3 linked regions of the Oryctolagus cuniculus genome follow. The protein of the gene in region 1 binds, or shares a complex with, the protein of each later gene. Links are inferred from orthologs where the notes say so. Each region holds a gene or a part of one and is shown in the gene's direction. Other genes may lie near its edges. The genes, in order: TNNI3, TNNT2 and TNNC1.

Region 1 (9,616 bases):
ACTCAGGCTGTGTTCAGATGCCCGCTCGGCTTTGCCGCGTGGTCCCAGACCAGAGTCCACTCTCCCCGGGAGCCATTGCCACGCTGAGGGGCGGGGGTCGCAGAGCCTCCCCACGGGAGTCAGTGTAGACAGAGAGGTCTTCCCTCCACTGGTTCACTCTCCAAATGGCCGAAATGGCCAGAGCTGTGCCAATCTGAAGCCAGGAGCTTCTTCCAGGTCTCCCACGTGGGCCCAAGGACTTGGGCCATCTTCCACTGCTTTCCCAGGCCACAGCAGAGAGCTGGATGGGAAGTGGAGCAGCCGGGACTCGAACCGGAGTCCATGCAGGATGCCGGCACTGCAGGCAGCGGCTTTACCCACTGTGCCACAGCGCTGGCCCCCACCTTTTTATTTTTGAAGGCAGGGGAATCTAGACAGGAGATTGTGGTGATGTGGGGGTGGGTTGGGGAGGTGGAGTCAGGAGCCCTGGGCTGTCACCCGCTCACCCCAGGATGGGCGAGGCACGGGATGGCTCCTTAAGCTCCTGGCCAAGAATAACGTCCCCATTCCTCCCCACCACCCAGAGAAGAGCGAGACCTTCCTGGAGGTGTGGGGGAACACACTGCTGCGCCCCTCGGTGGCCGCCTTTGTGCGCACCCAGGCCCAGCGCCTGGCGCACCTGGTGCCGGAGCCCGACCTCCTGGCGGAGCAGCTGCCGTGGCTCTCCCTGGGCGCCCTCAAGGTGCGGGGCCGGCCTCCGCCCATCTCCCCGCCTGGAGCCCGCGGGGATTCGGGAGTCTGAACCCTGGCTTCCCAAGCCCCTGGCCTGGGGGAGGGGTGGCTCCCGCGGGGACCCTCCCCGAGCCCCCTCTCGACCCTGGCCGCGCAGTTCCGCGAGCGAGACATGCTGGAGGCCGTGTTCCGCTTCTGGGCGGGCCGAGAGAAGGGGCCCCAGGCCTTCCCCGTGAGGCGGCTCTGGGACTCGCGGCTGCGCCACTACCTGGGCTCCCGCTACGACGCGCGGCACGGGGTCAGTGACTGGGACCTGCGCATGAAGCTGCACGACCGCGGGGTAAGGGGTCGGGGCGGTGACCCCGGGGGTCGAGGGCGGAGGCTGCGAGGCGGGGGGGGGGGGGGGGGGGGCTACTCCAGCATCTCCCAGACCTCCCTCCTCGCCTTCCCCGACGCCAGGCCCAGGTCATCCACACGCAGGAGTTCCGACGCTGGCGGGACACCGGGGTGGCCTTTGAGCTCCGAGACTCCAGCGCCTACAGAGTGCCCAACCGAACCCTGGCGTCCGGCCAACTCCTGCTCCACGTGAGCGCCCACTGCCTGCCCCGACCCGGGAATCAGGGCGCCCAACACCGCGTCACCTGGCTCTCCCCTCCCTGCCTTTGCAGCGCGGGGAGCGCGTGGTGGCGCGCGGGTACTGGGGGGACATCGCCACGGGGCCCTTCGTGGGCTTTGGCATCGAAGCCGACGACAAGGAGCTCCTGCGGACCAGCAATGGACAGCCGGTCAAGGTATGCGGCGGGAGCCCCAAACCCCGGCCCCGGAATCCGGCTGCGGTAAGTCCGGGTGCCCTAAGCGCCGCGCTGTCCCGCACACAGACCGCGGGCGAGATCACGCAGCACAACGTGACGGAGCTGTTACGGGAGATGGCCGCCTGGGGGCGCCCGAGAGCCGCCGAGGGCCAGGAGCGAAGCCCCCTGCGGCCGCCCGCAGGTGAGCCGGGGGCGCCAGCGGCCGGTGTCCGGGCTCGGTCAGCAGTGCCCGCACCCGGGACCCCTCCTCCTCGATGGCTGCTCCTTTCCTAAATGATTCCCGCGGTCCTGCCTGCAGGGGCCTGGGAGGGCGGCGCCGGGCCCTGGCTCCTGCTGGGCACGCCCCCACCCCGGGGCTGACCCCCTGTCGTCACCTGTAGCCCCCCCACGCTTCTCCGTCCACTTCCTGCCCTTGGGCTCTGCCCAGGCCCTGCACCGCAAAGGCTGCTACAGAGGCCGCTTCCAGCTGCTCTACGTGGCCTGCGGGTAAGAGGGGCGCCGCCCCCAGCCCCGGGGCCCGGCCTTGTCCGCTCCGGGCCGCATCCAGTCCACCGCAGCCTCTCCCCGCCCCTCTGCAGGATGGTCCAGCAGCTCAGCCCCGAGCTGGGCGCCTGCGTGGCTCCCGGAGGCAGCCTGGTTGTGGAACTGGCCCGGTGAGCCGCCGGCAGAGGCAGCGGGCTGGGGGGGGGGGTCTGGGCTGGGGACCCCTGACGCGTCCCTGTCGCCCCCAGGTACCTGGTGGACCTGCGGCAGCAGCAGCTGCAGGGGTTCTGCTCCCGCGTTGGCCAGCAGGCCCTGGCGGCGGGATTCACAGCCCAGTGCCAGGCCGGCCCCTCGGACACCTTCGCGCGCTTCTGCAAGCCCCGGGAGTCCGGGGCCCCGCCCTCGGAGCACCTGGCCACGCCCCCCGGAGCCCCGACCCCGCCTCCTGAGGCGGAGAGCCTGCCCACTGAGGACCTGGTCACTTCCCCTGAAGTCCAGGCTCCACCTCCCAAGGCAGAGAGCCCGCCCCTTGAGCACCTGGCCCTGCCCCCAGAATGCCCGGCCCCGCCTCCAGAGGCAGAGAGCCTGCCCCATGATGACCTGGCCCCGCCTCCGGAAGGCCAGGCCCCGCCCCATGGAGCCCTGGCTCTGCCTCCTAAGGCAGAGAGCCTGCCCATTGAGGACCTGGTCACACCCCCTGAAGGCCAGGCTCCACCTCCTGAGGCAGATCGCCCACCCCCTGAGCACCTGGCCACGCCCCCAGAGACCTCCCCGCCGCGCTCCGAGGCCCCGGAAGCGCCGGCGCCGCCTGAGGCAGCCCCCCGCGGCAGTGTACCCCAACTCCGACTGGAGGGGTCTGCCCCGGAATTAGTCACCGCGTAGTCCAGCTCTTGGTTTTACCCTCAGCAGCCTCCCCGCAGGAATTTCGAGTTCCCTGTCTGGGATTCTCATGTGCGCCCCTGGCGTTCTGGAATGTTCTCTGGGATTGCAGGTTCCACCTCGGAGCCCCCAGCTGGCGCCGGCCACCTCCTCGCAGGGGTGGGGCGGGCTCGGGCGGGCCCGCTGGCACCCACATGATGAGAATAAAGAGTCCAGTACTTGGCACGCCGCGTCCTGTGTCCCTGTGTCCTGGGGTCGGGGTCTGGGATGGGGCTGGGTTAGGGGTCAGAGGGAGGAGGGGCTGGGGCCTGGGCTCTGTGAGTCCGAGGGAGGAGGGCTGGGGCCTGGGCTCTGTGAGTCCGAGGGAGGAGGGCTGGGGCCTGGGCTCTTTGTGAGTCTGAGGGAGGAGAGATGGGCCTGGGCTCTGTGAGTCTGAGGGAGGCGGGTTGGGGCCTGGGCTCTGTGAGTCTGAGGGAGGAGGGTCTGGGGCCTGGGCTCTGTGAGTCTGAGGGAGGAGAGATGGGCCTGGGCTCTGTGAGTCTGAGGGAGGCGGGTTGGGGCCTGGGCTCTGTGAGTCTGAGGGAGGAGGGTCTGGGGCCTGGGCTCTGTGAGTCTGAGGGAGGAGGATCTGGGGCCTGGGCTCTGTGAGTCTGAGGGAGGAGGGCTGGGGCCTGGGCTCTGTGAGTCTGAGGGAGGAGGGATGGGCCTGGGCTCTGTGAGTCTGAGGGAGGAGGGCTGGGGCCTGGGCTCTTTGTGAGTCTGAGGGAGGAGGGATGGGACTGGGCTCTCTTGAGTCTGAGGGAGGAGGGCTGGGCCTGGGCTCTGTGAGTCTGAGGGAGGAGGGATGGGCCTGGGCTCTGTGAGTCTGAGGGAGGGGGGCTGGGGCCTGGGCTCTGTGAGTCTGAGGGAGGAGGGTCTGGGGCCTGGGCTCTGTGAGTCTGAGGGAGGAGGGCTGGGGCCTGGGCTCTGTGAGTCTGAGGGAGGAGGGTCTGGGGCCTGGGCTCTGTGAGTCTGAGGGAGGAGGATCTGGGGCCTGGGCTCTGTGAGTCTGAGGGAGGAGGGCTGGGGCCTGGGCTCTGTGAGTCTGAGGGAGGGGGTCTGGGGCCTGGGATCTGTGAGTCTGAGGGAGGAGGGCTGGGGCCTGGGCTCTTTGTGAGTCTGAGGGAGGAGGGCTGGGCCTGGGCTCTGTGAGTCTGAGGGAGGAGGGTTGGGGCCTGGGTGAGATGGAGGTCTGGGGGGCCGAGCAGAGGGGTCCAGTTTCTGTCCCTGGGTGGCGCTGGCCCTGCTGCACACGGCCCGCCTGCCCCTCGTGTGCGCTCACGCGCCCCGTTATCTGCCCCAGCGGAGGAGGGGCGGGGAGGTATATTTAGTCGGCCCTCGCCCTTCAGCTCAGTGTCCTTGGTGAGCCCTGTGCAGCCCGGAGGAGCCCCTACGGCCAGGGGGCTCCAAGGTCACCCGGACGCCCACTCCTGAGTCAGCATGGCAGACGAGTGCGTGAGGCTGGGCCACCGGACCCCCGAGGTCTCGAGGGCGTGGGGGGTGGGGGCGTGTGCCTGGGCTCTCCAGGGGGAACCCGGGACCTGGGACGGAGTCAGGGGTGGGACCCCGGGCTGGGAAGTGTGAGAGTGTGGGGATCCCTCCTGGGACGTGACCTCCGGGCCAGGGAGGCCTCTGGGGTCCCCCAGGAGCTGGAGCGGCACAGGCCCCACCCTGATCCCGCCTCTGTTCTTCCCCTGCAGGAGCCGGGATGCGGTGAGCGCCCCGGGTAGAGGCTGGGTGGAGACCCCGAGGCTGGGCGGGGACCCCTGAGACTCTGAGTGGGGACCCCCAGGCTCTAGGTGGGCGGGTGGGCAGGGGGCAGGGCCAGGGTCTTGGTGATGATGGGCCCCTCCACGCCAGGCAGGGGAAGCGCGCCCCGCGCCAGCCCCGGTGCGACGCCGCTCCTCCGCCAACTACCGCGCCTACGCCACGGAGCCGCACGCCAAGGTGGGCGGGCTGCGGGGCCTCGCGGGACCCAGGAGGGACCACGGAGGGAAGGGCAGAGCCAAGGCCTAGGATGAGGAAGATGTGGTCGTGGGTGGGGCCGAGGAGGTGGTGGGCGGGGCTTGGGAGAAGCCGGGCTCGGATTGGTGGGAACGGCCTGTGGGCGGAGCCAGGGCCTAGGATAAGAGGGAACATGGTCGTGGGCGGGGCCGAGGAGCTGGTGGGCGGGGCTTGGGAGGAGCCGGGCTCGGATTGGTGGGAGCAGCCTGTAGGCGGAGCTCCGTTGCCCATGACGTTGCTTAGGAGGTGGGTAGGCGGTGCCTAGCCAGAGTCTGAGCCCAGATTGGTGGGCGGGGACGAGGGGCGTGGCTTCCTCTGGACGCGGGCTTCAAGTTGGAGGCGGGCGCACATCTGGACGGGCCTGAAGGGATGGTGACGCCCCTCGGAGGGTCTCAGTCCTCCATCCAACCGTGTCACTCCGGCAGAAAAAGTCTAAGATCTCGGCCTCAAGGAAACTGCAGCTGAAGGTGAGGGTCGACCGGGGGTGGGGGTGGGGGGCAGGCTAACCAGGGGGCGGGGCTTGCATAAATTAGGGCTGGGCTTGGGTAGGTGGGGCGGGGCCTTGGACGTGTCCTTGCGGAGAGGGCGGGGCCTAGGGTTAAAGGGGTACCCGCTCATCCTGAGACCCCGGGGTGGGCTGCCGCCCGCCCACCCCTGCAGACCCTGATGCTGCAGAGTGCCAGGGCGCTGTCTTTATCCCGAGACGCCGCCCCGCCCACGTCTGCAGACCCTGATGCTGCAGATCGCCAAGCAGGAGCTGGAGCGGGAGGCGGAGGAGCGACGCGGAGAGAAGGGGCGCGCTCTGAGCACCCGGTGCCAGCCCTTGGAGCTGGCGGGGCTGGGCTTCGCCGAGCTGCAGGTACCCGCGCCCACCTTCCGTTCAGGACCGGGGGTCCAGTGTCGTAGCCTGTCCCCTCAGGGAAGCAGAATCTGGCCTGCAACCACGCACAGCCACAAAGCCCAGGGCCGGCTCCCCGCAGCCCAAGCCCGTCAGTCTCCGGCTCCCATACAACCTCTGCGTGCCTGTCCCTGGAGCCGCAGCTCCAGCGTCGCCCCCTTCAAGGCCACTTCCGGCCCCTCCTCCCTCAGACCAGGATTTCAAGGGTCCTCTGGCCTGCCCCCCACAACACACTCGGAATTCCTCCGCCAGGACTTGTGCAGACAGCTCCACGCCCGCGTGGACAAGGTGGACGAAGAGAGATACGACGTAGAGGCAAAGGTTACCAAGAACATCACCGAGGTGCGGGCGCCTGGGGCTGTGGTCTCAGCCCTCAGTCGCAGACCCCAGGGGACGGGGACAAGTCCATGAGCCTGGCAGGGTGGCAGCGGGATACGGGCAGGGAAGGCCGTTCCAGGCAGGATCGGCATATGCGAAGCTGGGGAGGGATGTGAGTGGGGGGTGGGGCATAAGGAAGTGAGCTCAGGTGGAGCTGAGCAGGTGGTCTTGCGAACGAGGCTGGGTTGCAGGAGAGGGGTTCAGTTTCCCAGGGTTGGAAGCTTGGTCTGGGAGCTGGAGCTGGGGAGAGGCTGGGTGAGGCCGAGATGCTGGAAGGGGGCGCCGCAGGAGGGAGGGGTCCCCACTTCCAGTGTGGCCGCCCCCAGATTGCAGACCTGACCCAGAAGATCTTTGACCTGCGGGGCAAGTTTAAGCGACCCACCCTGCGGAGGGTGCGGATCTCTGCAGACGCCATGATGCAGGCGCTGCTGGGGACCCGGGCTAAGGAGACCTTGGACCTGCGGGCCCACCTGAAGCAGGTGAAGAAGGAGGACACGGAGAAGGTGAGCGCGGGCCAGGGCCAGGGAAGGGGTACCGAGGTGAGGGGCCGCTGCGGCAGCAGCCCCAGGGTCTGGCCCCTGGGCAGATGCTTCCTGGAGCTGAGGGGACAGGCAGCTGGTGAGGGGTCCTCAGCAGGAAGTATGGGAGGGCCGCAGGAAGTGCAAGAGAAAGACAGGAAGTAGGAAGGAGGACAGGAAGTGCATTGGCAAGAGTAGGTAGGGAGGACAGGAAGTGCATGAGGGAGAGAGAAGGATGCTGGGAGGAGACAAAGGAAGGGGGACAGGAAGTGCATGACAGACAGGAAGTGATGAGGAGACAGGAAGTGATGGGGGAGACACACAGGAAGTGCATGAGGGGACACAGACAGGAAGTGCATGAGGGGGACAGGAAGTGCATGACAGACAGGAAGTGATGAGGAGACAGGAAGTGATGGGGGAGACACGCAGGAAGTGCATGAGGGGACAGACAGGAAGTGCATGAGGGGGACAGGAAGTGCATGACAGAGACAGGAAGTACATGAGGAGGAGAGGGGGACAGGAAGTGATGAGGGGACAGGAAGTGCATGAGGAGGGCACACAGGAAGTGCATGATACAGGAAGTGCATTGGGGACAGGAAGTGCATAATGGACATAGGAAGTGATGAGGGGACAGGAAGTGCAGGAGGGGGACAGGAAGTGCATGAGGAGGATACACAGGAAGTGCATGAGGGAACAGGAAGTGCATGAGGGGACAGACAGGAAATGCATGAGGGGTCAGACAGGAAGTGCATGAGGGGACAGGCAGTGCATGACACAGGAAGTACATAAGGGGTCAGACAGGAAGTGCATGAGGGGAGGCAGGAAGTGCATGAGGGGACAGACATGAAGTGCATGACACAGGAAGTGTGTGACTGGGACAAGAGGCAGTTAAGAGAACTCGGCCGACTGTAGGGGACAGGCAGCGTGGAGCGGTCCTGCCCGCAGCGGCTTAGGGAGAGGGGACCAGGAGGAGACCCTAACCTCTGACCGCACCCCCAGGAGAACCGGGAGGTGGGAGACTGGCGCAAGAACATCGACCTGCTGAGCGGCATGGAGGGTCGCAAGAAGAAGTTCGAGGGCTGAGCCCCGCACGGCCCGGCCCGCCCTGCTGAATAAAGCTGCTCCGAACTGCAGTGGCCGCGTCCTGGTGTGCTGGACACTGGGGGGAACGGGGGCGGGGCCGCCCTGCGCCTCCGACAGGGGCGCTCATGGCTGCACGTGGGGTGCACGCAGAGGCCAAGGACAAGGCCGACGGGGAGCACCCACGGAGACGCCCACGGGAGAGGGACTGAGCCAAAGACGCAAAGGAGGAGAGAGAGAGACGGAAGACAGCGGGCACAGACTCCCAGGGAACCTGTGACCGACAGGAGCTAGAAAGACACACGAGGACATGGACAGCCACAGACTCGCCCAGGGACCCCGAGCACCAGACAGAGGCCCGCCCGGAAGTGCCATCGACAGGACACACACCCAGGGGCCAGAGGGGGACAAGGACAGAGCCCTGGGAGACCCTGAGAAGGGCAGCCAGGTCCCCGGGGGGAGGAAGCCTGCTGTCCAGGGCTCTCTCAAGGTCATGGCTGGACTGGGGGGAGGGCTTGCCAGCCTCATTGTCACCCCATCCTCTCCCCCCCCCCACACCTGCCTCCCGGTTTTAGAGCCTTTTGTCACCAGAGCGGAATCCTGGTGGCAGACAAAGGGGTGGGGGCGGGGACAGGGACACACACAGGACAGACAGAGGCTCAGAGACCACCCATGGGGAGGCCTGGGCCCTGGAGCAGCCAGGAGATGCCTGGACCCTGACTCTGGAGCCAGAAGGGGCTGGGCCTCCTCTGAGCTCAGGAATTCCCCCCCACCCCGCGCCCCAGGGGCGGGGCTCAGCCTGCAGCTATAAACCCCTATAAACGCGGGGTGCGTCAGAGCCCTCAGCGAGGCCAGGCCAGGCAAGGCTCAGCCTGCGGATCCAGCGTCTGCATCCCCAGCCTTAGGTAACGGGGCTCTGCCGTCCCCACGGAGTGCCCTGGACGGAGCGCGAGAGCTGGGGTCTGGGAGGAGCAGGCTCAGAGCACAGGGCGCCTGGGTGCCGAATGCGGGGTGTCTTCCGGAGTCTGCAGGGACCTCAGGAGGGGTGTTCTGGGCTCGGCTGTCAGATAGTCTGAGTGGCAGGTTTGGGGGTCTCCAGCTCTGGGGGTATCAGGACCGGGGAGGGGTCTGAGTGTGGGATTTTGGGAATCGGGTCTCAGCATTTGTAGCGCCATAGCTCGGGGTGTGGTGCTGAGCCCTGAGCTTGGGCCCCAGGGTGCCCATCCTGACGGTGTGGGGCCGTGGGGTAGCCGGGCCCACAAGTGGGTTATCCAGGGGGTGGGACTGGAAGGGCTCTGAGCCTGGGCCAGGAGGGTCTCAGGGACGCGGGGTGTGCGTGTGTGTGTGTGTGTGTAGGGTCTCAGGGACGCGGGGTGTGTGTGTGTGTGTGTGGTGTGGAGGGTCTCAGGGACGCGGGGTGTGTGTGTGTGTAGTTTCAGGGACACGGTGTGTGTGTGTGTGTGCATGTGTGTGTGTGGAGGGTCTCAGGGACACGGGGTGTGTGTGTGTGTGTGTGTGTGTGTAGGGTCTCAGGGACGCGGGGTGTGTGTGTGTGTGGTGTGAAGGGTCTCAGGGACGCGGGGTGTGTGTGTGTGTGTGTGGTGTGGAGGGTCTCAGGGACGCGGGGTGTGTGTGTGTGTGTGTGTGTGTGGTGTGGAGGGTCTCAGGGACGCGGGGTGTGTGTGTGTGTGTGTGTGTGGTGTGGAGGGTCTCAGGGACGCGGGGTGTGTGTGTGTGTGGTGTGGAGGGTCTCAGGGACGCGGGGTGTGTGTGTGTGTGTGTGGTGTGAAGGGTCTCAGGGACGCGGGGTGTGT
Region 2 (9,748 bases), on another chromosome or scaffold:
GTTTCCTCCCCAGCCCCCGCCCCACCCCAGCAGCATGGAGGGCAGCGAGGAAGCGAGCGTGTCAGGGCCTGCACGCACGGTTCTCCTCCTCGGGGCTAACGCAGCAGTGCCCCAAGTTCTCAGGTTGCCTGGGGTCCGGGCCACGCTTGTCCACGGGAGACTCCTCCCCGCCCCCATTCTGGGGCCTGGGGTCTGTTCTCTTCAGCAGCTCTCGCCTGACCCCCATTTGAGCTTCCCAGCAACCCCATTATGCCTTTCACCCTGGACGTCTCTTCTCCCCTGACCCGAAAGCACCTTGTGAAGTGGGCTCTGCCCTCCCTGTCCCCATCCTTCTCCAGCAGAGGGAGCCAGGGAGCCACCTGCTCAGCGGCAGCCTTTCTTGTCTCTAATCCAGCAGATTCAGGAGAGCACCCAAGACTGAGGTCTCTACCCAGAGAGGCACCAGGGAGCGCTTTAACCCCTTGGCTCCAAAGGGGCTGCCTAGTGGCGGACACCAGAGCAGTGGCTCTCAGTGGCTGTGCACAAATGGGTGCCTGGGGCTGGTCTCAGCCACCATGGTGGGATGTGTAAGGAGAACTGGAGGAGTGAGCAGGGCTCTCTCTGTCCCACTGTCCTCACCCTGCACCCCGGGTGAGAAGTCGGTGGCTTCAATGCTGGCAGGAGACAGAGGGCGTGGGAGGAGCCGCAGAGGGTGGTCCCATCTGGCATTCTCACCCCCCGGCTGCCCCACTGTCCCCTCACCCTCGCATCACCCTTTCCTTCTCGCCCTTGAAGCCGACAGGGCCACACAGTGCACAGCGGCAGGGGGCGCCGTTCACGTTTCTTGGCCCAGGAAGCCTGGGCGGTCAGTTCTCCGCTGGACGCCCGTGGGGGGCAGGCACACTACCCCGGCTTCAAGTCTCACATCTGCCCCAGAACAGGAGCAATTTCAGAGCTAAGAGAGCCCAGGTGCAGGGAGGGAAGTGACCTTTCGAAGGTCACACAGGCCAGTGTTCAAAGCCAGACGAGTCTCCCACTCCAGCGCCCACTTAGTCCCTGCGGCCCCACCCTGTAACTGCATGGGCACAGAAGCACCTGACATTGCCTAATGCCTTCCTCTTCCACTAATGTCAACCCGATCCTCGCAAAGGCTGCTGGGAGCCAGGATAGGTACACTTTATCTCCACAGTCCAGACGGAGAACTGACAGAAAGCCCTGGCCAATCGCCCCCGGCAAGCAGAGGGAAGAGAGTTTGAATCCGGATTGTTCCTAGTGCAGGGAGCAAACTAGCGCCCCAGGAAACCCAGTTTTGGCTGAAAGTTTTGTTGGGATACTCATAGCTGTAAGAAACAAGACGGGGCCGGCGCCGCGGCTCACTAGGCTAATCCTCCGCCTTGCGGCGCCGGCACACCGGGTTCTAGTCCCGGTCGGGGCGCCGGATTCTGTCCCGGTTGCCTCTCTTCCAGGCCAGCTCTCTGCTATGGCCTGGGAGTGCAGTGGAGGATGGCCCAGGTGCTTGGGCCCTGCACCCCATGGGAGACAAGGAGCAGCACCTGGCTCCTGCCATCGGATCAGCACGGTGCGCCGGCCACGGCGGCCATTGGAGGGTGAACCAATGGCAAAAGGAAGACCTTTCTCTCTGTCTCTCTCTCTCTCTCTCTCTCTCACTGTCCACTCTGCCTGTCAAAAAAAAAAAAAAGAAAAAAGAAACAAGACGGAGGGGTCCTATGTCCTGCTGCCCAGGACCCCCGCTCCGGCGCTACCATCTGCAAGGCTCAGGGCAGCATCAGTCACCACGTGGACGTGGGTCCAGCCTCGCAGACTTCCCGGCTTTCCTTGTGCACGAGTGTGTGTGTGTGTGTGTGCACACCTGGGGGCAGGGCTCTCCTGCGGGAGGCTGGCTGCCCTTCCCGCCCGTACTGACCGTCTTCTCTTTCTGGAGGGAGAGCAGCAGCCATGTCTGACTTGGAAGAAGTGGTGGAGCAGTACGAGGAGTGAGTATGGGGGAGGGGTTTCCTCTGCTGGCCAGGGCTTGTCCCCTCCCCCACTTAGCACCTGCTCCAAGGCCTACAGGGCAGAAGTAGCTGTGACTGTTTTCAGGCCCTGTGGTGATCAAAGCCAGTCCCCCAACAGTCTGGGGCGGGGCTCAGTGCAGGGGGCAGGGGGACCGATCTGGCGAGGGCGCCGGCCACCAGCAGAGAAGCTGGGAAGCCGGTTCCCTGAAACCGAGCCAGAAGGGCTGGGGGCCTCTCGCGAGACCACAGAGCCCATCAGGGTGGGGGGACTCAGCTAGCAGGGGCTGCACTGCCTGCAGGATTTGCAGAGAAGAGTTTGGGAGGAGGGGCTTCTAAACAGGTGCACCCCTGGGGAGCGCTCAGAGGCGAGGTGAGAAGATGCAGGGCAGGCAGAGGGTGTGGGCTCCACCAGCAAAGAGGGAGGGAGGGAGAGGGACCCCGGGGTGGTCTCGGGACGGCGCGGCGTGTGTGCGTGCGTGGCTGTTGCTGACAGCATCTTCTCTGCACACAGGGAGCAGGAAGGTAAGCACAGCTGGGTGTCCCTTTGGCTGGAAGACAGTGGGGTTCGAGACTGACCCTCACCCCTCTTCTCTCCTGACTCCTGGCCTTGTGCTCCCAGCAGAGGAAGCTGCAGCTGGTAAGCTCCTTGGGAGCAGGACAGGTTCCTGGCAGCCCCTCCTCCCCCCGGCCTCCAGCTTTCTCACTGCAGTGACGCATGTGCCCACACGGGCGTCCAGCGGAGAACTGACAGCCCAGGCTTCCTGGGCCAACAGGGCGGCGCTGTTTAAAGCACACAAGCCCAGCCCCCCTTATCAAATGAGCTCACAGCGCAGGCGCTCAGCTGTCCACGGTGTTTCACACTGGCTGGAGCGTGTGTCCCGACTGCCGCCTGGCAGGGTCCCTCCTCTCCACTCTGCGAGCCCCTGGCTCTCAGCCTTGGTCCCCTCGCTCGCTGGAAGCCCATCTTTGCCGCTGCTGCTTCTCGAGAACTTGACGCGTGGCAATCCCCCGGAGGCCTCCCCCAAGAGCCCACCCAGCCCCCAAGGTTGCACCCTACTTCTTAGTGGTCCAGCAAAGTCTTAGAAATAGCACTTCTGCTCCTGCTGTGTGGCCGTTGGGAGAACCGAATCCCCCGAGGGTCCTGGCAGGGCCCGGGGCTCCAGGGCTGGCTCCTGCCACATCCCCAGGCCTCGAAGGGAACAGCGCAGGAGCCTCCTGCAGGATGGGGGCTGTCCCAGAGAAGACAAGAGCTCACGGGAGCGCAGTCAGAGGCCACCGGGGTTGCCTTTTGGTTTGCAAGGAGCAGCGCATTTCATCCATGATCCGTGGCAGCCTCTGAATCACAGGTGTAGCCTTCAAATCCGGCCACGCTCCTGACACAGGGGTCTCTGTTTGCTTGGGAGGATTTGCCACTTTATGGCAACAGGCTTTGAGTTGGGGGGGTGCTGAGACCCAGCCCCCCGGATGGGGACCCGGCTGCCTGCCGCACGCAGTAGGATTTGCCTCGCCTCACGCAGCCCCGCTTGCTTGCCGTGACTGGCCGACACTTGCCCCCACGCAGCCGGGGACCCTGGTGTAGATGACGCCGGGGAGCAAGCTCTGGAAGGAAGCCCTGTCGCCTACACGGCGGCGTTCCCAGTGCCTCTGCTTCCGGAGAGTTCTTCCACCTGCTGTCGCCCCTTCCTGGGCCGGAGCGAGGGCTGAGTCCTCAGCTGTGCCCCGTGGTCATGGCGCTGGGCTTGCCTTGCACGGGGCAGCTTCCTTCCTGGGCACAGCCTCTCCAAGGCTCCGTGGTCCAGAGCCAGAGCCCAGCTGCTGGTTACCATTCGTGATGGCTCCCCTGGTGGCAGTCCTTGGTGGGCACGCCAGGCCAGCTCCCCTCAGTGGTCACGGGCCGGGAGGTGGGTGGGGGTGTTCCCTCGGACTGTGGAGGTGCCCGAAGCTCAGGGGAGCCGATGCTGCAGAGCGCTGGCCCGGGAGCGGGGACCCGGGCCACAGTGCGAGAGGCACCAGCCAGCCGCCCGCCACCGCTGCCTCGCCTCTGCTCCGAACTAACCTGTCTCGCTTCTCCCTTGGCTGCCGCTGCCCCCTGACCCTCAGAAGAGGAGGACTGGAGAGAGGACGAAGATGGTACTGTACCTTTCCCCCCGGCTCTGCTTCCTGCACCTGCTGTCCCCGGTGCCAGCGCCTGGCCCCCGCCTTAGAGGGGGCCAGTCAGGGCCACAGTTCTGAGCTGGTCATCACATCTCTCCTTTAGGGTTATGGGCTGGGAAACGCCAGCTGGCTGTCTCCCTGTGTGGCCACTGAGGGGCCCATATCAGGGCTGAGATGCCCCACCTACCCACCCACTGCACAGTGCTGGGCTGTGTGTGGGCCCTCCGTAGGAGCCAGGCAGCACCCAGGCAGGTGGCCGGTGGCAGGAGCCTGGGGACCAAGTGATCTGGGGGCTGGAAATGGCCAGGTCAGAGGGAACACGGTGTCAGCCTGCAGATGGCCCCTGGGGTGGCACTGGACCTGCTCCTGGCACCCAGGGACAGCACTCGGGCAAGGGGGACAGGCGAGGCTCGTTCCAGAGAGCACGGGTCTGACAGGGAGGAGTCAGGATGCGGGGGCCGCCTGGGAGGGGCAGCGCAGCTGATGGCGGTTGCCACTGCGGGCCAGGCATCTACTCTCATGCCTTCTGGAAGAATCTTCTCCACTGTGTCAGTCTCGGTCACCGAGGACCCTTGCCAAGCACTTCCTACGGGCAGAGCACGGGCCAGGGGTTACCCTGTCCGCCTCACCTGTCTGTCCGTCTGTCTGCTCCAGGCGTCTCAGCAGGGTGGGGTCCGCATCCTGCCCAGCATGTGGGTGGGAACAGAGGGTCCCGCAGCCTGCTGCCGAGGGCAGCCCCTCTGACTGCCAGGCAGCTCCTCCATCCTCAGTCTCGCTCTGCTGGTTCCTTCAGATGGGGGGCGGGGGGCTCAGGACGGGGGCTTCCCCAGCACTTTCTCTCAGGTGGAGCCTGTCTTGTGGGCTGGAAAGTTGGGGCTGGGGGCGTCATAGCCCCAGGGAAGCCCCTGGGGAAAGAGGCGCTAGGTCAGGCAGACAGGGCCCCCGGGCCCCCCAGTCCCTGGCTTGAGTCTCGTTGGGCCCACCCCTTCCCTGCTGCTGCCCACAGCACCCACCGCACCCATCACACCCCCACCCAGCTTTCTGGCCCTCCCGGGCTCTGTGTTCAGAAAGGCCCAGTGGGGAGTCCCAGACCGCAGGAGAGGCAGGTTCATGGCTACAGTGCTTATCACAGTCCTGGTCACACCCGTCTGCCCTGACGGTGTGGGCTGCAGACGAGCGGGTGGCATTTTACACCTTGAGGGCACCCAGGATCCCCAACCCTGCAGCCGGAGCAGGAAGCAGGCCACAGGCCGCGAGTCTGTGGATGCACATGGCTGTGCCAATAAAACTTTATCGGAAGCAATGGTCTACAGGCTGGACGTGGCCCCTGGGCTGCGGTTTGCTGGCTTCTGGCTTAAACCAAGCACTCGAGGCAGCCTCTCGTCACTCACGCCAGTTGCCTCCAGGTTCATCCACGCCATCCCTCCAGTGTGCTGGGCAGGGCCGGCCACTCTCTGTCCCGGCCTCTGCCTGGGTGTTCACTGTGTCTCGTTCCCCTCTACAGAGCAGGAGGCAGGGGAAGAGGAGGAGGCTGGGGGCGGAGCTGAAGCTGAGGCTGAGACCGAGGAGACCCAGGCCGAGGGTAAGGCCCTGGGCTGGGGGCTGGGGGCTCGCGGGGTGCTGAACACCCCCCAGAGCCATTCCTGCGGCAGAAAGAAATCCACCTGCCTCCAGCCCTCCACCTGTGCACCTGCCCCTCCTGGCTGGGTGGGATACAACCATCAGTTGGCCAATCAGTGAATGCTGGTTGAGTGCTCAGGCAGTCTTGGGCCCAGGGGCATGCATGTGAGTGCAGACCCCTGGCCCCATAAACCAGCAGCTCTCCCTTGGTTAGGCCCTGACTCTGGGGTGGGTGGAGGATTAGCACTTAGAACAAGGCCCTTTGTTGATTTCTCATGTTTCCTTTAGAAGATGGACAAGAAGAGGAGGATAAAGAGGATGAAGGTGAGTGTGGGCCCCCCCAGCAGCCCTGGGGAGGCGGAGGGGCCAGCGAAGGAGAGGATGGGACTGGGGGTCCTTGCAAGGTGTGGTGCTCTGGGCCTTCACCCCTTCTCATCCCGGGAGCTGTCTTAGTGGTGGCCAGTGACAATGGGACCAGTGACCAGCCCCTGGGACCCGGAAGTCACGCCCTCCATGAGGCTCCTAGAGCTCAAACCACTGGGAGGTGTGGGGTCTGTGGGGGAGAAACCCCGGGGCGTGGAGGGTCCCAGGGTGGGGTGGGGGCGGCATTGCTGCCGTCATCCTGTGCCCCAGCCCTTCCGGGAACATCGTCTCAGCCTCACCTCCAGGGCCAGACAGCAGCTAGGGCACCTAGCTCCCAGCACCAGGAAGTCCAGGGGGCAACCAAGAGACCTGGGAGGGGACTGTGGGACCACCTCGGGGACCTGGCCACCGACCCTCCTGGCTGCGAAGCCCCAGAGGCCATGGCGGACAAGAGCAGACCTTGAAGTAGCATGCTGAGGTCCATGCTGAGAGTGTGGCCGGGGGACGCGGCTGCCCCCTGAGACCCCCCTCCCCTGGGGACTGCTGTGGGAGTCAGCCTGGCCTCACAGGGGCCCACAGGTGCCAGCTCATGGTGGGGGGGGGGGCTGGGGCCTCCTGACCCCGCGGCTGTGTGCTCTCCTCTGCAGATGGCCCCGTGGAGGAGTCCAAACCCAAGCCCAGGTGAGTGGCATGGACCTGTGGTGAAGCCCTGGGAGGGGCCGGGCCAGTGCAGGAGGGTGATGGGCGCAGGTGGCACGGGCTAGGGGTGTGGCAGCACACACTACCCACACTGCCATGTACAGTTGTACAGGTTGCACACTGCACACGGGGTGAGGGCTGAATTCCACCCTGGCGCGTTTGTTGAGGAAGCAGGTGGACCAGCGTCCGCCCCGAGCAGGCACAGGGTGGCCAGATCACCACCCTCTGAGGCTGGGGTGGCCCTGGGACAAAAGGGAAGTGGCGGTGGTGGCCACAGAGCTGCCGAGGGCAGAGGTCGACCCCCCTGGTGGGGTGGGCTTGGGGGGGTATTCCCCATGCCGATGGAACCTCCACTCCTGCCCCTCTCAGTGGGTGGCGGGAACCTGCTCTGGCCAGGCGGTCCCAGCACCTGCGCTGCAAACCTCACGTCAGCTCCACCCGGGCGTGCGCGCGCCCGCCTGGGCCTGGGGTCACCCACCAGCTGAGACTGCGCTGGTCCGGGTCCCGGGGCGGTCCTGCCGGGTGCAAGGCGGGGAGCTGGCGTCCCACAGGCCCGCCTTCCCATCACAGCTTCCTGCTTCCTCGCCTCTCCCCGCTCCCTCTCCTTAAGCGAGAATCCCACTGCCACCTTCCTCCCGGCGCACCAGGTACAACACCCGGGTGCGGGGTGGACGCCAGAGCTCCTTTAGGCGTAGGTGTTGGGGCCGGCGCACGCGGCGGGGTCGACGTCACGCAGCAGAGTTGACGTCACGCGGCAAGTTCGAGGTCGTGTGCCAGGGCCGGCTCCCCGACTCGCCCCTTCTCTCCTCCCACAGGCCCTTCATGCCCAACTTGGTGCCGCCCAAGATCCCCGATGGCGAGAGAGTGGACTTCGACGTGAGCAGCGGCGTGGGCAGAGCAGGCCTGGGCTGGGGGGACGGCGGGGGTCCCTAGGGCCCCTGGTGAGAGGGCGAGAGCAAGAGAGAGAGGGAGTGAGCGATCTCATGGTGCCTGGGGATTGCGTGGGGCGCAGGCTGGGCTGGGAGGTGGCGGGGGTCCCTAGGGCCCCTGGTGGGTGGGAGAGAGAGAGAAGACAAGAGAGACCTCGTGGTGTATGGGGCTGGCGTTGGGCGCAGGCTGGCTGGCCGGCGGAGGTCTGGGTGTTGAGGCTCCTGAGCCCCGGGGCGCCCCCTGCAGGACATCCACCGCAAGCGCATGGAGAAGGACCTGAACGAGCTGCAGACGCTGATCGAGGCGCACTTCGAGAACCGGAAGAAGGAGGAGGAGGAGCTGGTTTCTCTCAAGGACAGGATCGTAGGTCTCAAGTCGCCCGCCAGAGGCTCCCCGGGGCCCACCCTGTGGATAGAGCCCACCGCCGCCCCACAGCACCCCCAGGAGCCCCTCACCCTGCTGGGGGGGGCCACGCCCTGTGGGTAGAGCCCACCGCCGCCAGGAGCCCCTCACCCTGCTGGCTGGGGTCTGTCCTGCAGGATCCCGGAAGGTTTGAGCAGCTCTGGGACCCCGCCTTCTCCGGCCCTGGACTGGATGCTCCCCGATTGCAGGAGCTGCGTCCGATCCATCTGGGGGCCCCGCAGAGCCGAAGCCAGGCCCGGGCTGTGATAGGACCCCTCCCCCCCACCGTGGGTTCTGGGCTCCCTCTGCGGGGCGCGCTGGGCAGCCTCCGCCTGTCTGCCTTGTAGGAGAAGCGGCGTGCGGAGCGGGCCGAGCAGCTGCGCATCCGGGCGGAGCGCGAGAAGGAGCGGCAGAACCGCCTGGCTGTGAGTGCCCCGTGGCCCCTGCTCCTGGACGCACGGTTTTGTCCTGTCTTCGGACCCCTCCCGGACCTCACCAGCTTGGCCTTTGAAGACCAGGCCATGTCGCCCATGGCCCAGCACAGCCGCCTGTGAACCCCCAGCCCTTTTCCTGAGGGCTCGTGGCCGCCCTGCCAAAGCCACACAGCTCCAGGGAGGGCTGCAGGGGCCTTGCTGGGGGAGTCAGGAGCCCGTCCATTCCCTTGCTGGAGCTCACAATCTCCGGAGGGCCGGGCCTGGGCTGGGGGCACCCACAGAGAGCTCCGGGGCCAGCAGGGGGAAAAGTGGACCCATCCGTGAGACCACCCCTTTCAGCCCAGAAGTGGGGGTCCCCGGCCTGCCCCCGACTTGCCCTCTCCCCGCTCCCCTGCCCATCAGGAAGAGCGCGCCCGGCGCGAGGAGGAGGAGAGCAGGAGGAAGGCGGAGGACGAGGCGCGCAAGAAGAAGGCGCTGTCCAACATGATGCACTTCGGGGGCTACATCCAGAAGGTGGGGGCCGGCCGGGGGCTGCCGGAGTTCAGGTTGGGTCCCGGCAGGAAGCGGTGGGAGGTGGAGGCCTGCTCGGGCCAGCCCCCGAGTGGGCTCTCGGCATGGCCGTGGACTTAGCTCTGCTGGGGTAGGGAGCTCTGGGCAGACCCTGATGCTGGCGGCGCCCAGGAGCCCCCAGGGTGGCCGGTACAGCCCAGCATCAGAGCTCTGATTGGATGCCCAGCTCTGCTGTCACCTGCGGCCGTGGGGCCGCCCCCGCCCCCGCCCCCGCCCAGCGACTCGGTGTCCCGCCCGGCCCCCTGCTCACCTGCAAGGCGCCTGTGGGCTACACAGACGAACAGTGGCCGCTCCTGGGATCCCACTCCCAGTCCTGCCATCCCTGTCAGCTCCCGCTGGCCCCAGTCCTCAGGGCGACAGCGCTTTCCTCCTGCAGTGGAGGGCCGTTGTCTTAGACCCCTAAGGTCCCCAGCCCAGCCATGCTGCCTCTGCCCTGTGGTGGCCTCACCAGGCCCGCCCCGGGCTGCGAGGGGAGGGGAGCCAGGCGGGCTCTGAATCTTCTCCCTTGTGTTTCTGCCTCTGTCCCCTCCCCCACCCCGTCCCCACCGTCTCTGTTCCCTGTTGCTCTCTCTCTCTGGCTCT
Region 3 (9,598 bases), on another chromosome or scaffold:
GGGCAACCGGGACAGAATCCAGCGCCCAGACCGGGACTAGAACCTGGGGTGCCCGCGCTGCTAGGTGGAGGATTAGCCTAGTGAGCCGTGGCGCCGGCCTCCACCAGTTCCTTTCACAATTACATTAATAGGCTGCTTTAGCAAAGAAGTAAACTACAGGCAAGCAGCCTATTTTGCCTTAAAACTCATGTGTGGCGTAACAGGAACTTGACCCCAGCGCCCCAAGCTGAGACACAGGCTCACAGGTTACCTTTTCATGTAGATCATGGAAGTCGCTGTAGCGGTGCTTGACTGTCCACTCGTGGCCGCCATCAGTGACCCGGATGATGTAAACCTAAAAGGGGAAAGCAATAGCCCTAGTGGCCGGGGGAGCCAGCCCACAACGGGTCCCTCTCCCCACAGCGATGACTTCAGGGCCCTCAGAGAGCACCCTGCTCCTAAATGGCCAAAATTAGAGACTGTCCTTGTCCAGCGGCCTCTGCACTTGACCCCTGTTGAGCAGGGCATCCCTCTCTCAGACCCCGAGGCTGGGAAGCTCTGGAGATGGGCCTGTGGCTCCACCCATCAGTGAGGACTGGAAACGTGACTGTACAACGAGCCACCTCTCTGGTTCACCTTCTGCTCCCAGTGAGTTCAAACCCAGCCTTAGCTGCAGAGGCCACCCCTTCCAGGCATGCAGAGCAGGGCCACGACCAGCGAGATCAGTCTCTCTGCCGTATCTCTTTCCCGGTGCCCTGTCTACCTCCTGGAAGCAAATCCTTTCCCCACTTTTTCAACTGGTTCACGGCTATGGTTTCTGGCGCTGAGGAGGAATCAAGGACCAGGAAGCTTAGGGGGAGGCAGTGGCAGGCAACGGCGCCCTAACAGGCAGGCAACGTGGCTTTCCATTTGGGAAGACCTGGGTCCAAACCCTGGCTCTGCCATGTCCTGGCTGTGGCTTATGCATCACTCATGTAGGTGAATCGGAGCCCAAGTTCTGAGCCTCAGTTTCTCCCTCTTAAACTCTGGTAGGTTTAAGCAGCAAGGAAGTTCTCATACAAAATGCTGCCAACAGGGCAGACGTCATCCTAACGTCCAACGAGGCAAACCCAGGGACAGATAATGAGGGGGCCGGCAGGGACCCTCACTTCCCCTCCACACACTGAGGGGCTCAGCCCGATATGGAGACCGCCTCATGCTGACTGCAGCCCACAGAGGAGGGACAGCCAGTCCTACCCCTCGCCTAGCGGGGCCCCAGTCCAAGTTTCCTGCCCTTCTCAGCGGCAAGCAGGGAACTGAGAGAAGAGTCACTTCAGCTTAAGCCCGTGGCTCCAGGACCCGCCCCAGTGCCTCTTCCCACCCCAGCCCCCAAAGGAGAAAGAGCCAGAGGAAAAGTCACCAGGGAGGGGCCTTAGAAGGTGGACCAAGAGGGTGGGCACAGGGGCAGGGTCAAAGCCCCCCACCTTCCAGGAACAAAGCACAAGGCAGGAGGTGCTCACTGCATCCCAACCCAGGGCCGCTTTTTGCCAGGTACCCCACCAGGCTCATGGCTTGGCACCTACCCTCCCCTACTCCACGGTCAGAAATCAAGCCCCCTTTCTGACCTGTCTCCCCTGTGGCTTGGAAGTATGTGCCAGGGCTTGCTGCCTGCCCCACCTCCGCCTACAGCCAAAGCCACGGGGTTATCCCACGGTTTCTGGATCCGCGTTCAAGTTCTGAGACCACCCCCCATTTCCCCACGGCTGGCCTCCACCCTTCTCATCTCCACCAGATCCCCAGGGTCCCCTGTATACCAGTACAGCCCCTCACTTCTCAGAGCACATCTCTGCCGCCATCCCAGCCAACCCCCAGCAAGCCCCGCCCCCTCTCCTTCCCCGCCGGCAGGGCCCTGGTCCTTAACCCTGATTGCATCCATCACGGTTCTTCCCCACACATCCCCTTCCCTCTCGGACCCCCTGACAAGGCTCCCCCCACTCCACGGCTACCACCCTTCCAGGCCTAGAGGATCTAGAAGGGGTCCGCATCATCTGGACAGCCTCTCCCTCCCCAGAGCCCCTTTATTCCCAGATCCTCCCTAACCCAAGTCTCCTTTTCTGATCGCATACCCTTTTCCGGAACCCTCCCTGCGGACCTGCAGAACCCAGACCCCTCCCCAAATTTCCTATCCCAGGCCCCTCTCCTCGGAACCGCAAACGCCTCCACCCACTCCAACCGGCCGCGGGACCCTGACCCCTCCTCATGCCTCCTCAACACCCTGACTCCGGCTGCCACCCCTGGTGCGGGTGCCCACGCCCCCAGCACACCGTATACGTGTCCACGAGCTCGGAGCCCACGACGCGCGCTTCCTTGGCCGGCTCGGCCTCCCGCTCGGGCCCGAAGCCGCCCGCCGAAGCCGCCATGTTCGGGGCTCCGCCGCCACAGCCGCTCGGCGCAGACTGGCAGCAGCAGGGGGCGGGGTCAGCGTCCCACCGCCCCCAGGCCCCCGCCGCCCCCCGCCCCCGCCTCGCGCTGCGCCGCCATCTTGGCCCCGCTGCTGTCTCAGCCTTCGCCCCGCCCCTCGCGCGCAGTGGACGGTAGCCGCCGCCGGCGCGCATGCGCACCCCGCGGGACCCGCTCGCTCCCGGCGCCTGTGTTTGCGTGGCGCCGCGGCGGCGCAACAGAACGCAGAGCGAAGAGTCCCAGCCCTGGAGAAAGGAGGCTGGAAGGCTTGTGGCCTTCTGGGCTACGGTTCCGCCCGGCTCAGTTTCTTTCTCCGGAAAAGAGGGCAGTCGTAGCGCATCCCCAGGCTGTCAGACTCATGCCCCTCCTGGCAGGAGACAGGAGCTGGGCCCGTGACTCGGCCAGTCCCAAACCTCTCCAGGCTTGGGCATCTGCTGACCCGGTGGCCCCTGGAGAACTTAGCGAGCCCAGCACGGAGTAGTCTGCCAGCCAGGGAGTTTATCCAGCGGGAGCTCCGCAGGGGTGGGGGCGGAATCTGGAGAGGAGCTGGCATGGTGGGTGGAGGGAAGGGGACGGTCTGGCCGCTGTGCGCGAAACCCCAGGTGGTGTCCTGCCTGAGCGCAAGGTGGGGGGAGACAGGCTGGCCCTGCCCCCCCCCCCCGCCCGGGCAGGTGCCACAGTGCTGCCCAGGGGCAAGGAAGCCCTGACCCAGTGGAAGACCCAGCTACAGGTGAAGACGCTGGGAGGGGGAGGTTTCTAGGGGTGGTATCTGAGTGCAGCTGGCTCAAGCACGGGGCAAACTGGAGGCCTGGGCCGTGGCCTCTCTGGCACTTCCAGCTGAAGGGCTCCGGATTACCCGGTCCTTCACCGGTTCCATGGCACCGTGCCTTGGCATTTGGCATCTCTCCGCAGGGCCCTGCACCCCCCGTGCTGGCCTTGTCCCTCACTTGGGGAGGGTTCGCTTAAGGCAAGGGCTGCCGAGACTGCCGAATCTTGGCCAAGTCAGCACTCCTCCAGGGCCTCGGTCGTGTGCATCCCCACGACTGGGTGGAAGGTTGAGCTGCCGCATGCAGGCGTGGCCTGAGGCCTCTACCTCCCCCCATTCGTTCAAGAAAGCTGTCTAGGGTGGCAGAGCGGGGCAAGCCACTGCTTCCAAGGCTGGTGTCCCGTCTCAGACTGCAGTTCGAGTCTGGACTGATCTGCTTCTGATCCAGCTTCCTGCTGATGCGCCTGGGAAGGCAGCAAACCATGGCTCAAGAACTTAGACTCCTGCCACCCATGTAGGAGACCAGGTTGGAGTTCCTGGCTCCCGGATTCATCCTGGCCCAGATTTGGCTGCTGTTTGGGAGAGTGTTCCAGCCAATGGAACCAGCCCTCTTTCTCTCTCTCTCCTGTTATTCTGCCTTTCAAATAAAATATCTTTTAAAAAAAAAGAAGCTTTTCTAGGGAGTCTTACGTGTGGTGTGAGGGGCAGAGGGCTGCTCCTTGCAGCCTTGCATCTGCTCCCTGCCCTAGGCAAAGGACACAGGGAGTCTGGCCAGCCCGAGCTCCCCGGGACGGGGAGGGGGCGGAGGACGCTGCACGCCGCGGTGGGCTGGGCTGGGCCGGGAATGCAGAGCAGGGCTATTTAAGCCGAGGCCCAGGGCTGCTGGCAACCCCAGCAGCCGTCCTGTGAACTGACAGCATGGATGACATCTACAAAGCTGCGGTGAGGAAGCAGAGGGGCAGGGCTGGGGTGGGGGAGCCGCTGGGAACTTAGCCCAGAATGGGGGCGGGGGGACCCCCAGCAAAGTGGGGGGGACCCAGGAGAGGCCCACACAAACATGCATCTTCAAAGGGACGGTGGGTCTGGCATGGGGGGGGGTTCAGTCTAGTGGAGCTGGCAGGGTGAGTGGAGGGGGTCAGAGCCTTTGCCGTCAAGCCCCCTGTTTCCCGTGTCTGTAGGCTGTGTGCCCATCTCGGCCACATCTCTGCATCATGTCTCCGCATCTCTCAGCTCCCCTGGAGCTGCCTCTCTGAGTCTCTGTGGCTGTCTCCTGTCTCCTGGCCCTCCCTGCCCCTCGCAGCCTGTCGCTCGCACCCTTGCAGTGCCCCTCCAACCTCCACTTCCTAGCTGACTGGAACGTGGCCAGGGGTCGTGAGGAGCAGGCTGCAAGACCCGAGTCTGGGCTAGGGAAGGGGCATGGAAGCTCAAGGCAGGGAAGGACTAGGTGTGCGTGCAGGAGAGGTGGGGCAGGGAAGACGGGAACCGACAATGAGGGGCCCAGCCCACGGGTAAACTCAGGGCTCAGTGGTTTAGCTGGGGACGAGGGTCAGGGAGCAAGGGCTGGAGAGTGGTCACCCCAAGTACCTGCACCCTGCTGGGGTCACTGAGGGGCTTCAGACCCTGTTCCATCCCGGGGGGGTGACCTCTGCCCCGGGGACAAGCACATGGGAGCCCAGGCGCTGTCCCCAGGGGAACCCTCCCTCAGCCCCTTGAATGCGGCCCCACTCCTAGGCAGGGAAGGGCTATGGCTGGCTGTGGGGGTGTGCCCACCCACCCCCACCAGGGGGGTGGTGGAGGCAGCCCTCCGCCCAGTGCCCATACATGGCCTGGCGGGGCTGGGGACTAATTTTGGCTCCCTAGGCGACAGCAGTAGGCCAGGGGGCCAGATAACGCTGCCCCACCCCCAGCATGCCGAAGTCCCAGAACAATCACCAGGTTTAACTTTGTCCCCCGTTAAAAATAGCCCAGTGGTCACCCTGGTCAGGTTACAGAGGGTGGCTTTGCCCGTCCCCACCCGAGTTTTATTGTCCCAGCCTGAGGGACAGCTGTCCTTCAGGCCTCGCAGCTTGGGTTTCATTAGGGAGGCTGAAAGGGCGTTGAGTGGTCACTGGCTATTGTTACCCCGGGTCACCTTGGCCCTGGAGGGGGTGCCCACCTGTCACCCTGGCCCCGAGCCCAGCCTCAGTGAGGCCAGCTGTGTCACCTCAGGGCTTTGGGACAGGAAGGGAGGGCTGAGGTCTCTTCTTGGTGGCCTGGCTCCTGGCTTCAGCCTTCCCACCTGTGGGACAGTTGCTTCCCTCGAAAGCAGCCAAGGCCTGAGTCTGTGTCCTGAGACCCCTTTTCCTCCCTAGGTAGAGCAGCTGACAGAAGAGCAGAAAAATGGTGAGTGTCCCCTGCTGCACTGCTGGGGACAGCAGGGCCAGGCTGGGGGAGTCCCAGGAGAGGAGTCCCAGCTGGAGGCCAGAAGCTGGGCCCCCTGGCTGGCACCTCAGCGGTCTCAGAGGGAAGAAGGCAGCTTGGCAGCTGGCCCTCTGGGGTCCTGGCTGCTGAGACGCGCTGCTCTCTCTCTGTCCCCGGCCCCACCTTGTTGATGCAGAGTTCAAGGCGGCCTTCGACATCTTCGTGCTGGGCGCGGAGGATGGCTGCATCAGCACCAAGGAGCTGGGCAAGGTGATGCGGATGCTGGGCCAGAACCCCACGCCCGAGGAGCTGCAGGAGATGATCGACGAGGTGGACGAAGACGGTGAGCCCCGCCTGCCCGTCTCGCTGGGGTCAGGCCTGGCTCTGTCTGTCCAGCGGCTGTTTAGCCTGTTTGAGCCTCAGTTGTCTCGTCTGTCAAATGGGCATACTGACCACGCTCGCCTCCAAGAGGCGGTGTGAGGGTGCAGGGAGAACGTGGGGCTTGTGTCCAGGCCGCTGCCTCACGGCATGCCGCCCGCACCACAGGCAGCGGCACGGTGGACTTCGACGAGTTCCTGGTCATGATGGTCCGCTGTATGAAGGACGACAGCAAAGGGAAATCCGAGGAGGAGCTGTCTGACCTCTTCCGCATGTTTGACAAGTGAGCGCGCTGCTCTTGACCTCTGAGCCTGCCACCCTGACCGGGCAGAACTGGGGCAGTGGGCAGCCTCCAATTTGAGATGAAGGGACCCTGTGTGAGGGGGGTGAGGGGTGCCTCCGGCCCTCCCCACAAGCTGCAGCCCCGGCTCCCCCTCAGAAACGCCGACGGCTACATCGACCTGGACGAGCTGAAGATCATGCTGCAGGCCACGGGCGAGACCATCACGGAGGACGACATCGAGGAGCTCATGAAGGACGGCGACAAGAACAACGACGGCCGCATCGACTACGACGGTGAGCAGGGGCCGGGGCCCTGCCGCCGTGCCCTGCCCGGCGGCCCGCTCACTGCCTCCTGGCCCTCTCTCCACAGAGTTCCTGGAATTCATGAAGGGTGTGGAATAGACCCAGCCTTCAGCGGGAGCCGCCCAGATGCTCCGACTCCAGCTGGGGTGCCGCCGGGGCGGGGCCATGAGGGTCAGCCGCCCCTCGCCCCGACCCTGGATCCCTCCCCAGCCTGCGGTGTGAATAAAGCCTTGCCCCCCAGTGGCCTGCCTGCCTCTGACTGCCCCCTCCCGGTGCCCGCGCCCTTCCCGGGGTCTGCGCCTGCTCTGGATCCCCAGCCCCTGCTGGAAGCCTTGGAGTCTCTCAGGGCCTGTGGCCGTGCTCCACACTCTGCACACTGCTTTCTATGGCTGAAGTAATGCATTCGCACAAGCTTCTGGGACGCAGCTGTGGTCAGAGCAGGTGGCAGCCCAGGGCTTCTCTCCTTGAAGGGAGCCGGCAGTACAGTGCCTCTCAGCTCTGCCTGCGGGGAAGCTGGCCCTGTGGGACCCAGCAGGCCCTGGCTCCGACCCACAGAAACATCAGCTCCTGGGGACCGAGGGGCGTCGCGTCGGCCCTGCTTCCCCTCGCCCGTTTCACAGGCGGGACCCCAGGGACCTCGAGAGGTGCCGGGACCGTGCAGGACACCCCGGAGTTTGAAGAAGAGTGAAGCTGCCTGGCTGGGGCTCTGTGTGATGGGCCGGTTCCTGTGACTCTTAGAGGCTGGCGGCTGGCAGGGGCCTCTGAGCTCAGTGCAGATTCCCCAGGCCAGAGCGGCGCCAGCACAGGGGGCTCGCCCTGGGAGGCGGTGGGGGCTGCAGGGAGGCCGAGGTGTCAGCGGTGGCGCTCCCAGGAGGGGCAGCTGCCGCCGGCACCCAGGCTCCAGCCAGAATGCCCACAGCTGTCCCGGCCTCTGCACCTGTGCCTCCGCCCAGGCAATTCCCCACACAGGCCTGGCATTCCAGAGACACTCTTGGAATTCTGGGGATGCTTCTGGTGGGGGCCAGAGCTGCCAGGAGCTGCCCGGGAGCCTCAGGCCTGCCCTGGGAGCTGGAGAACTCGGGGAGCCCTACAGACATGCAGGGGCAGCCAGAGAGATGAAAGGGCCACAGTGGACAGCCCCCGACAGCACACCCACCTTTTACTCACACACCTGCCATGGGCCTGGCCATGGTGGGTGCTGGGATGCATGAGTGAAGCCTGGTCCACCCACGGAGACCAAGAGTGAAGCGAGCGCAATGGGAGCACCAGTGTGGGGCTGGAATAGAGACTGCGGAGGCGTGCTGGGCCCGCAGGTAGTCTGGGAGGGCTTCCTGGAGTTGTTGGTCCTTTGAGCAAGGCTTGAAGAACCACAGGGAACTGGCCACGGTGGGGCAAGGGAGAGGAGTCAAGCCTCCCTCAGCAGGTTTGGGAGAAGGGGTCAGGGCCAGGCCCCACGAGAAACTCAGTCCAGGTGAGGGGGAGGTGGGGGCAGCAGGAGCACCCCCTGGGCTGGGGCAGGGTGAGGCGGACGCTGTGGGAAGGGAGTGGGGTGCAGGGGCTCAGGGCACGTTTTGGAACCAGAACGGGCAGAACTTGCTGAAGGAATGGGCATAGAGGCAGGAAGTAAGAGGCGGGAGTGACTGCTAGACTTTTGGCCCAACTGCCAATTCCCGGGCTCTGGAAGCCGGGGAGGCACAGGTTCCACGGTGGGGTACTGGGAAGCGGAGGCCCCTGTGCTCCTCTAGTGGGTTTCACATTTTGAAATCCCAGACTTGCAAAAATAGCACAGAAAGCTCCCGCTTGCCCTTCACCCAAGTTCCCCAAATGCTAACATCTGAACTAACCACAGCATAGCAAGCGAGCCCCGGAAGTCAGCACGGAGGGGGCGCTATTCCTTCACGTGCCCTCGTGCTGCCCAGCGTCCCCCCTACGTCCACTCCGACCCGGGAGCCTGAGACCTCGCCAGCGGCCATGAGCTTCCCGACCCCTGCCAGAGGGTGACACTGCCCCAAGACCTGGACCCCTCTGCAGAGCTCCCCCGCCGGTGGTTTTGTAGCTCCTCGCTCGATGCAGGTTTGCCCGGGGGGCCCCAGGACTGACTCAGGTGACGCTGTGTGAGCGCACGGAGGACGAGCAGACTCTTGTCCCTGTGTGCAGATGCCTCCGAGACAGGTGGCAGGGACATGAAAGCAGGTGGAGGCAGAGCGCGCAAACACAGCTATCACAGGCACAAGAAGCCCGTTCCCAGCCCGGGCATGGAGGAGGCCCCCAGGGGAGCTGGACAAGAGGGGTGCTGGGCTGGGTGCTGGAACCCCCAAACGCAGGCAGTCTGGGGGAAGGGTCACAGCCACAGGAGGGAGAGACCCTCGGTGAGCCAGGGCCCAGCAGCCAGGAGGAGAAGAAGCAAGTGTGGGTGAAAGCGCGTGGCCCTGGGCCGTGGCCACTTGGGGAGGGTTTCAGCGAGCCTGCCTGGAGAGGGCTGAGGGGCAGGGCAGCTGGCCAGGCTGGACACCGGGACAGGCTGCCATGGAGAGGACCTGCGCTTAAGCAGAGGGAGCCGTGCCAGTGCTGATGGGGATAGCCAGTGAGGCAGGAATAGAGCGAAGTGAGGTACATGGGCGACCACGGCAGGCCAGCAGCCACAGGGCCTCCGGGCCCTTTTCCGAAGGGTCTGGTGACCGCACTGGGTTGTGGATCCAAGCCGGGCCAGGAGAAAGGGGGGCTCAAGGCAAGCAGAGGCAGGCAGGTGGGTGAGTGGGAAGAGTGGGGGACCAAGGGCAGTCGATGGTGTGCAGACCTCATGCAGTAGAGGTCTCCCATGCAGAAGGTCACAGCCTGACCTGGAGGGCAGGTGGCCCAGGCTAGGGGGGAGAAAGGGATTGGCAGAGAGGAAGACAAGGACTCCAGAGGCACGGGGTGCCGTGCAGGGGCATCTGGGGAGGGGAAGAGAGGCGAGCTGTCTGTGAAGGAAGCGGGGGTGTGCACCAGCTCCAGAGAGGCCAGCCGCAGCCCCTCTGGCTGGGCCGGCCTCAGACCAGGGCCATGTGTGCC

The links.
Region 2: the proteins of TNNI3 (region 1) and TNNT2 are in contact, whole or in part, in a crystal structure (PDB 4Y99), measured with the Homo sapiens proteins. The link is inferred for Oryctolagus cuniculus from reciprocal best matches to the Homo sapiens genes TNNI3 and TNNT2. Residues at the interface, in NP_000354.4 of Homo sapiens: Arg68, Glu71, Lys72, Ala75, Leu76, Arg79, Gln81, Pro82, Leu83, Leu85, Leu88, Gly89, Phe90, Leu93, Gln94, Leu96, Arg98, Leu100, His101, Arg103, Val104, Asp105, Val107, Asp108, Glu109, Glu110, Arg111, Tyr112, Asp113, Ile114; in NP_001263274.1 of Homo sapiens: Glu214, Lys217, Lys218, Ile221, Leu222, Arg225, Arg226, Lys227, Leu229, Ile231, Asp232, Leu234, Asn235, Glu236, Leu239, Arg240, Ala243, Lys244, Leu246, Trp247, Ile250, Tyr251, Leu253, Glu254, Ala255, Glu256, Lys257, Phe258, Asp259, Leu260.
Region 3: the proteins of TNNI3 (region 1) and TNNC1 are in contact, whole or in part, in a crystal structure (PDB 4Y99), measured with the Homo sapiens proteins. The link is inferred for Oryctolagus cuniculus from reciprocal best matches to the Homo sapiens genes TNNI3 and TNNC1. Residues at the interface, in NP_000354.4 of Homo sapiens: Glu32, Pro33, His34, Ala35, Lys36, Lys37, Lys38, Ser39, Lys40, Ile41, Ser42, Ala43, Ser44, Arg45, Lys46, Leu47, Gln48, Leu49, Lys50, Thr51, Leu52, Leu53, Leu54, Ile56, Ala57, Lys58, Glu60, Leu61, Glu64, Arg136; in NP_003271.1 of Homo sapiens: Asp3, Ile4, Lys6, Ala7, Glu10, Gln11, Thr13, Glu15, Gln16, Glu19, Phe20, Ala22, Ala23, Ile26, Phe27, Val44, Met45, Leu48, Gln50, Glu59, Met60, Glu63, Glu66, Asp67, Gly68, Asp73, Asp75, Glu76, Phe77, Met81.

The regions. Positions count from the first base shown.
Region 1 is NC_091449.1:3,698,062-3,707,677, forward strand, and holds TNNI3 (troponin I, cardiac muscle), read left to right. Parts: upstream 1-4,266; 5' UTR 4,267-4,364; coding exon 4,365-4,406; intron 4,407-4,784; coding exon 4,785-4,871; intron 4,872-5,353; coding exon 5,354-5,395; intron 5,396-5,655; coding exon 5,656-5,787; intron 5,788-6,078; coding exon 6,079-6,168; intron 6,169-6,530; coding exon 6,531-6,707; intron 6,708-7,721; coding exon 7,722-7,805; 3' UTR 7,806-7,855; downstream 7,856-9,616. Other genes in the region: DNAAF3 (dynein axonemal assembly factor 3), read left to right, coding at 564-721, 869-1,051, 1,171-1,296, 1,380-1,502, 1,590-1,704, 1,904-2,009, 2,102-2,176, 2,255-2,888. UniProt on the Homo sapiens protein: Troponin I is the inhibitory subunit of troponin, the thin filament regulatory complex which confers calcium-sensitivity to striated muscle actomyosin ATPase activity.
Region 2 is NC_091444.1:17,356,139-17,365,886, reverse strand, and holds the start of TNNT2 (troponin T, cardiac muscle), read left to right. Parts: upstream 1-4,958; 5' UTR 4,959-5,412; coding exon 5,413-5,554; intron 5,555-5,652; coding exon 5,653-5,730; intron 5,731-6,056; coding exon 6,057-6,092; intron 6,093-6,778; coding exon 6,779-6,812; intron 6,813-7,645; coding exon 7,646-7,706; intron 7,707-8,006; coding exon 8,007-8,123; intron 8,124-8,509; coding exon 8,510-8,587; intron 8,588-8,998; coding exon 8,999-9,109; intron 9,110-9,748. UniProt on the Homo sapiens protein: Troponin T is the tropomyosin-binding subunit of troponin, the thin filament regulatory complex which confers calcium-sensitivity to striated muscle actomyosin ATPase activity.
Region 3 is NC_091441.1:97,257,564-97,267,161, forward strand, and holds TNNC1 (troponin C, slow skeletal and cardiac muscles), read left to right. Parts: upstream 1-3,859; 5' UTR 3,860-4,102; coding exon 4,103-4,126; intron 4,127-5,535; coding exon 5,536-5,566; intron 5,567-5,780; coding exon 5,781-5,927; intron 5,928-6,130; coding exon 6,131-6,245; intron 6,246-6,401; coding exon 6,402-6,538; intron 6,539-6,614; coding exon 6,615-6,646; 3' UTR 6,647-6,790; downstream 6,791-9,598. Other genes in the region: NISCH (nischarin), read right to left, coding at 251-334, 2,283-2,378. UniProt on the Homo sapiens protein: Troponin is the central regulatory protein of striated muscle contraction. Tn consists of three components: Tn-I which is the inhibitor of actomyosin ATPase, Tn-T which contains the binding site for tropomyosin and Tn-C.